2 linked regions of the Macaca fascicularis genome follow. The protein of the gene in region 1 purifies or fractionates together with the protein of each later gene. This does not show direct contact. Links are inferred from orthologs where the notes say so. Each region holds a gene or a part of one and is shown on either strand. Other genes may lie near its edges.

The links.
Region 2: the proteins of TAF6 (region 1) and TAF9B fractionate together in Homo sapiens (co-fractionation; 3 studies listed by BioGRID, with this or other methods). This does not show direct contact. The link is inferred for Macaca fascicularis from reciprocal best matches to the Homo sapiens genes TAF6 and TAF9B.

Annotation. Positions count from the first base shown.
Region 1 is NC_088377.1:48,763,656-48,767,475, forward strand, and holds part of TAF6 (transcription initiation factor TFIID subunit 6), read right to left. Parts: intron 3,412-3,820; coding exon 3,292-3,411; intron 2,791-3,291; coding exon 2,645-2,790; intron 2,537-2,644; coding exon 2,459-2,536; intron 2,367-2,458; coding exon 2,265-2,366; intron 1,863-2,264; coding exon 1,680-1,862; intron 818-1,679; coding exon 743-817; intron 617-742; coding exon 491-616; intron 1-490. UniProt on the Homo sapiens protein: The TFIID basal transcription factor complex plays a major role in the initiation of RNA polymerase II (Pol II)-dependent transcription.
Region 2 is NC_088395.1:84,643,662-84,647,075, reverse strand, and holds part of TAF9B (transcription initiation factor TFIID subunit 9B), read left to right. Parts: intron 1-2,062; coding exon 2,063-2,173; intron 2,174-3,414. UniProt on the Homo sapiens protein: Essential for cell viability. TAF9 and TAF9B are involved in transcriptional activation as well as repression of distinct but overlapping sets of genes. May have a role in gene regulation associated with apoptosis.

The sequences.
Region 1 (3,820 bases):
GGATGGTCCAAATGCCAAAGGCTGAGCATGTGAGCCCTTCTTTCTTTTTGGAGGAGTGGTGGTCTCCCTCTGTAACCCAGGCTGGAGTGCAGTGGCACAATGATAGCTCACTGCAGCCTTGAACTCCTGGGTTCAAGCAGTCTTCCCACCTTGGCCTCCCTAGCAGCTGGGACCACAGGCACATGTCACCACTCCCAGCTTTTTGTTTTTCGTAGGCGGGGTCTCGCTACATTGCCCAAGCTGGCCTCCTAGGCTCCCAGAGTGCTGGGATTACAGGCGTGAGCCACCACGCCCAGCCAGCCCCCTTATTTTTTACTCAGCTTGAGTCTCAGTCTTTCCATCTGTAAAATAGTATCAGACTTTGCAGTATGTTCTGAAAACAGGAGGCAAAGATGGGAGTAGGTGAATAAAATACGCCATATGCTTGCTAAACGCCGGCTGTCTCTCGGGGGGTCGGGGGCGCAGGTGCAGGGACAGGGGCTTCGGTTACCAGCAGAAGGCTCTGCACATGGTCTGCTCCAATCCGGTCAATGTTGCTCAACACAGGGCCGTCCAGCACACTGCGGATCCGCTCCCCTTCCTGCTGTAGCCGGGGCAGAATCAGAGTCTTGATAACCTGTTGGAAGGGAAAGGAAGAAACCAAAGCCGGAGGGTCACCAGGGTCTCCCAGGTGGGGGCACAGTGCCCTCTATAACCTCATGACTGCGTCCCCTCCCCCATTTCTTCCTCCCAGAGGCCTAACATCGTGTCCCAGCTCAGCCAAGCCTGCGATGGAGCCATAACGAGTCGTCCAGGGCGTCTTCTCGTCCACCCAGCTCTGTAAGGGGAAGGAAATAAACTAAGATGAAGGGGTCTGAAAGGATGATTGATAGGGACCCACGTCTTTCATAGACACTTTCCTTGTAAATCATTAAGACATGACAGTGAGGCCAGGCGCGGTGGCTCACGCCTGTAATCCCAGCACTTTGGGAAGCTGAGGCAGGCAGATCACCTGAGGTCAGGAGTTCAAGACCAGCCTAGTTAACATGGTGAAACCCTGTCTCTACTAAAAACACAAAAATTAGCCAGTTGTGGCCAGGCACAGTGGCTCACACCTGTAATCCTGGCACTTTGGGAGGCTGAGGCAGGCAGATCACCTGAGGTCGGGAGTTCTAGACCAGCCTGACCAACATGGAGAAACCCCGTCTCTACTAAAAATACAAAATTAGCTGGGTGTGGTGGCACATGCCTGTAATCCCAGCTACTCAGGAGGCTGAGGCAAGAGAATCGTTGGAACCCAGGAGGCGGAGGTTGCAGTGGGCCGAGATCGCATCATTGCACTCCAGCCTGGACAACAAGAGCAAAACTCCGTCTCAAAAAATAAATAAATAAATAAATTAGCCAATTATGGCTGCAGGCACCTGTAATCCCAAGTACTCAGGAGGCTGAGGCAGGAGAATTGCTTGAACCCAGGAGGCAGAGGGTGCAGTGAGCAGAGATCGCACCACTGCACTCCAGCCTGGGCAAGAGTGAGACTCCATCTCAAAAAAAAAAAAAAAGGCATTACAGACAAGCCTCAAGGCCCTTAGAGCCCCACAAGTTCCAGTCCCTCTTCCCTCTGCCCTTGTTTCCAGTGTCACTTCCCCCAACCAGAGGTGGCCAGTGATGAAACCAATGGTGCTCAAGTTTCCCTGGCTCACCTTGGTGAAGGTCTTGGTGATTCGGGACTGGATGTTGTTAGTGGTTGTGCTAAAATGCTTGCAGATCTGGGCCACCAGGCGGGCAGCAAAGTCTCGGAGTGCCCAGTGATTGTCCACATCTGGTCGCAGGCACAGCTGTCTGCTCACGATGCAGGTCATCACAGCCGGAATCAGCTCATGGACCTAAGGGAGAAAGGGCGGGGCAGCTGATTCTGGTTTTGTTTGTTTGAAACAAAGTCTCACTCTGTCACCCAGGCTGGTGTGCAGGGGCACAATCATGGCTCGCTGCAGCCTCAATCATCCAGGCTCAAGCAATCCTCCCATCTCAGCTTCCCAGGTAGCTGGGACCACAGGTATGCACCACCATGCCTGGCTAATTTTGTTTTTGTTATCTTTTTTTGTAGAGACAGTAGTCCTACTACTATCCTCAGGTTGTCCTCAAACTGCTGAGCTCAAGCGATCCTCCCATCTCGGCCTCCCAAAGTTGCTGGGATTTCAAGTGTGAGCCACCGCTGACCACTGACTTCCTGTTGGTGGCAGCAGGGTCCCTGGTCCCTGGAAGGGAAGGTGGGCAGGACCACTCACGTATTTTTCTAGATAGAGCGTGGGGTTGTCCATCAGCGCCTTCACCATACGCATCAGGTAGATGAGTAGGGCCAGGTTGTTCTGAACCACATTCACACGGACCTGCGGGAGGGAGGAGTGCTGGGCATGGGGCAGGGAGACCCTCACAGGAGCTTCCGCTGCCGTCCCTGCACAGTGGAACCTCATGCTCTCACCCCCTCCGAGATGAAGGTACTGAACCGTGGCAGCATCTGATACAGCCCGGGGTCCGTGGCAATGCTTTGCAGGGCTTCCTGTGGGAGGAGGGAAGCCAGTCAGGTGGGGGTAGGATGTGGGGAGCAATTCATAGGACCCCCAGGAGGAGGAGTCTCAGGGCCAGGGCAGGCTGGTGGGGCCCTCACCGCCCTCTTGGCCTCGCAGGAGCCCACACAGGCCTCGGTGATCTCCTTGTAGTAGAGCTGTTGCTCCACAGACAACTCATGGATGCTCCGGGGCTTCAGTCGCAAGGGGGCCCCCTCCAGCAAGGGCGGTGCCTTCTTCTCTTTCCCTGTGTGATTGGAGAGGTGGGTCTGACAAAGAAAGCTCCAGAAGAAACCTCAGTAACAGAAGAACCTTAACCCTCCACTTCCCCTGAGACTCAGGAGACCCAGCTTCTTCTTAGGCTTCCCCATCCTTTCTGGGGCTCTCTGGCCCACTTCACCAATGGCCACATGGAGGCTTGGCATGGTGGCTCACACCTGTAATCCCAGCACTTTGGGAGGCCAAGGCAGGCGGATCACATGAGGGTGAGTTTGAGACCAACCTGGCCTACATAGCAAAACCCTATCTCTACTAAAAAAAACTACAAAAATTAGCTGGGCGTGGTGGTGGGCACCTGTAATCCCAGCTACTCAGGAGGCTGAGGCTGCAGTGAGCTGAGATTGTGCCACTACACTCTGGCCTGGGTGACAGAGTGAAACTCTGTCTCAAAAACAAAAAAAGGATACAAAACAAATGGCCACGTGGCTTTGGGCAAGAGTACAGAGAGGCCTGGCCTAGGAGGACTGACCTTTGCCGTCAGCTGCGGTGGCCCCTTGACCTTTGCCCTTCAGGGGTCCGTCTTCCTCTTGGCCTGGCTTGGCTGACTTCAGGGGTTCTGTGGCTTCGGCCTTCTGTTGCTCTTTGGGAGCTGGTGGGAAAGCAGGCACAGTGGGAGGCGTGACGAGAGTAGCAGGAAAAGTAAAGGGAGGAGGCTGGATGCGGTGGCTCACGCCTGTAATCCCAGCACTTTGGGAGGCCAGGGCGGGTGGATCACCTCAGGTCAGAAGTTCGAGACCAGCCTGGCCAACATGGTGAAACCTCATCTCTACTAAAATTACAAAAAATTAGCTGGGCGTGGTGGTGTGTGCCTGTAGCTCTAGCTACTCAGGAGGCTGAAGCACAACAATCGCGTGAACCCAGGAGGCAGAGGTTGCAGTGAGCCGAGATTGTGCCACTGCAGTCCAGCACTCCCGCACTCCAGCACAGGCAACAGAGTGAGACTCCATCAAAAAAAAAAGGTGGAAGGAGGGGGAAAGGGACCCAGAGACCCAGAGGGT
Region 2 (3,414 bases), on another chromosome or scaffold:
TGTTGGTGGTATAAACTCTGATACCAAAAACAGGAGTTTACTCTTAGCTGTGTACTTTGTGCCTTCTATAAGGTGCCACACACACTTATGGCAGTAGACTGCTTATTAGAAATTTAAATTTCCAAATAGATAAGAGAATACAGTAGAAGATTAAGATGTACAAAAATCTTAAGGATCTCAAAGAAAAAAACTGTTTTTAATACTAACCACCACGCCAGGCCTAAAGATGCAAGTTTTAAACTTTAAAAAAAATTAAAATGAGTTGGCCAGGTGCGGTGGCTCATGCCTGTAAACCCAGCACTTTGGGAGGCCGAGGCGGGCCTATCACTTGAGGTCAGGAGTTCAAGACCAGCCTGGCCAACATGGTGAAACCCCGTCTCTACTAAAAATACAAAAATTAGCCGGGCATGGTGAGGGGTGCCTGTAATCCCAGCTACTCGGGAGGCTGAGGAACGAGAATCACTTGAACCCAAGAGGCAGAGGTTACAGTGAGCAGAGGTCATGCCACTGCACTCCAGCTTGGGCGACAGAGTAAGACTCTGTCTCAAAAAAAAAAAAAAAAATTAAAATGATTTATATAGACCTTAAGACCTGAGTATTTACTCTGTTCAATTTGGGGAGGCTCCATCTACAGTCTAATGTGTTCAGTTTTAAAGCCTGAACTCCATACCTGCTTAAATGTATTAACAATCCTAAGGCCAAGAAAACATTCACCTACTGTGAATTTTCTTTTTTCTTTATAAAATAAAATACTTACATTGCTTCATTACGCTTCACCAAATTCTTTGGACTGATCCTTAATACATGGGAAAACTTACTTAGGGATGGAGATATTTTAGAGGAAGGTCTCACCTTCTGTGTTTGGGAGAGAAAGCAGTAAAACCCAGATTTCTCGGTACCTTTGAGCTTTCTTCCCTTAGACTTTCTGCACCTTTTTCTCTAGAAATGATAATTGTAGTGTCCTCAGCAACTCTATCTCTGGGTAGGCTGCTGGTTCCAGGGGGAAGGGATGTATTGGATAGCCTGCATCCCCAAATGAAAAATTGGAAATGGATACATTTCCATAAATGTATTTTTTGAGAGAGCAATGATGTCAGTATATAAAGTCTTCGAGTCTTGCAAAATACATTTATTAAGCAAACATTTGTTGAGTAGCTATTAGGAGCAAGGTAAAAGAGCCGTGTGCTCACAAGGATGAAAAATGTTAACCAAGCTTGTAATCTAGTCAGTGAGATAAGATAGTAATAATGACTCCTATGACATTAAGGGAACTTCAGAGGCAGAATATAAGACATTTAACTGAGAAAATTAAGGAAAGTTTTATAAAACGGGGTAGTATTTGAGTTGTACCTTGGAATAATGGGTAGAATTTAGATGATTGGGGGTTTAGACTAGGTTATCTCCAAGATATTTTTCTGCTTAAGTATCCGAACACAGAAAGGGAATAAATTTTCTGGGCCCACCTGGAGACCTCAAGGGGTATATTTGATCTCTGCTTTAGTTTCATGGGCATAGATGACATCTTCTGATTCTCAGCAAGCGACCAAGATGAAAAGTGCCAACTAAGGTAATAAATAGAAAACCTGGGTCTTTATTCTGGTAGGTTAAACTCTCATCTTTATGTCTTCATCCAGCTAAACCTCAGTGCTTACTATGTAACAGATGCTGTTTGAAGAGTTTTACAGGGATTAGTTTTACTTAATTTTCACAAGAATTATATGAAATAGGTGATATTATCCCCCATTTTACAGAGGAGAAAACTGAGGCACAAAAATTTAAATAACTTGCCCAGGGACACTCAGCTAGTAGGTGAGAGCCTGAATTCAAACTCAAGCAGGTAGGCTACAGAGCCAACATTCTTTACCACTATTCTAAACTGAATTTTGTAACATCTAAGCAAGCTTGTAAATTTTTTAAGGTTCTTTTGCTCTTATTTTTAATGACTTTTTCCTTACCTTTTATTAGTTTCCTTTGCTTTGAAGATAGTTTGCGGTAAGCTGAGTGTAGAATATAAATGTGTATAAATCACCTAACAAACATGGTCTGTTTATTGTAACTACAGCAACCCCACAAACAGTGTCTGTCCCAAATAAAGTTGCAACTCCAATGTCAGTGACAAGCCAAAGATTTACGGTGCAGATTCCACCTTCTCAGTCCACACCTGTGAAACCAGGTAATGTGATCGGGGGTAGGGAACAGAATTTGTGAATAATTTGAAATTGTAGAACCATTTGTGTTCCTATAGCAAGAGGTAAATTGTTTTAATATCCCAACAGGAAGGTGGCAGTAATGCTGCAAATCAGGGTTCTTCAGAGGGACTTATGAGCCCTCTAAAATTCTGTGAAATTTTACAGAGTCTCCCCCCTTATCTTGAGGGATTATGTTCCAAGACCCCCCGTTAAATTTACAACCTTTAAAGTTCAATTTATAAACTTTCTAAATTATGAGGTTTAATTTATAAATTAGGCACAGCAAGAAATTAACAATAATAAAAAAACAATTACAACAACATACTGTAATCAAATATATGTGAATGTGATCTCTCTCGAAGTATCTTACTGTACTGTACTCATCTATTTTTGGATCACAGTTGAACACAAGTAGCTGAAACTGCGGATAACAGGGGACTACTATATGTGTAATGTTTTGGGGAGGAGGAAAAGAGTAGTCAGTGTGTTCATCAGATTTTCAAAGAACACCATGAACTAAACAGGATCCACAAATCTAAGGCATCTTCAAGGAAAAGCAGTTAAGGTGAAAGCTCAAGAAAGCGACAAAACTTAGTGATGAATATGTGTATGCAATCCAGAACATAAATGTAAATTCAAATGAAACTGTACCTTTAGTTCATAGGATACACACACACACACAGACACAGACACACACGGCTGGAATAAGTAGAATTCTGTCAGCACAGTTTACTAATAAGTATGTTTAGATTTCACATCTTCTGAAACTTAACTGCACACAATAAATAACTTACGTAAAATACTGACCTATTAGGGAAGTGATTCCTGGCCTTGAACATAGGCCTTTATGTAGTATGTTGCATGATGAGTCCAGTGCAGTTTCCCATGACTAAATTGAAATTCTAGGTTGTTAAAATACAACAGAACTTCTTCAACCTTGTACTAGGTATGTTTGATTTAATCTTTATCTATACATAGATCAGAATATCACATTATATGCCATAAATATACACAATTATTGGCAGGGTGCGATGGCTCACACCTGTAATCCCAGCACTTTGGGAGACTGAGGCAGGAGGATCACTTCAGGCCAGGAGTTTGAGACCAGCCTGGCCAACATGGTGAAACCCTGTCTCTACTGAAAATACAAAAATTAGCCAGGTATGATGGCACATGCCTAAAATCCCAGCTACTTGGGAACCCGGGGCATGAGAATCACTTGAAC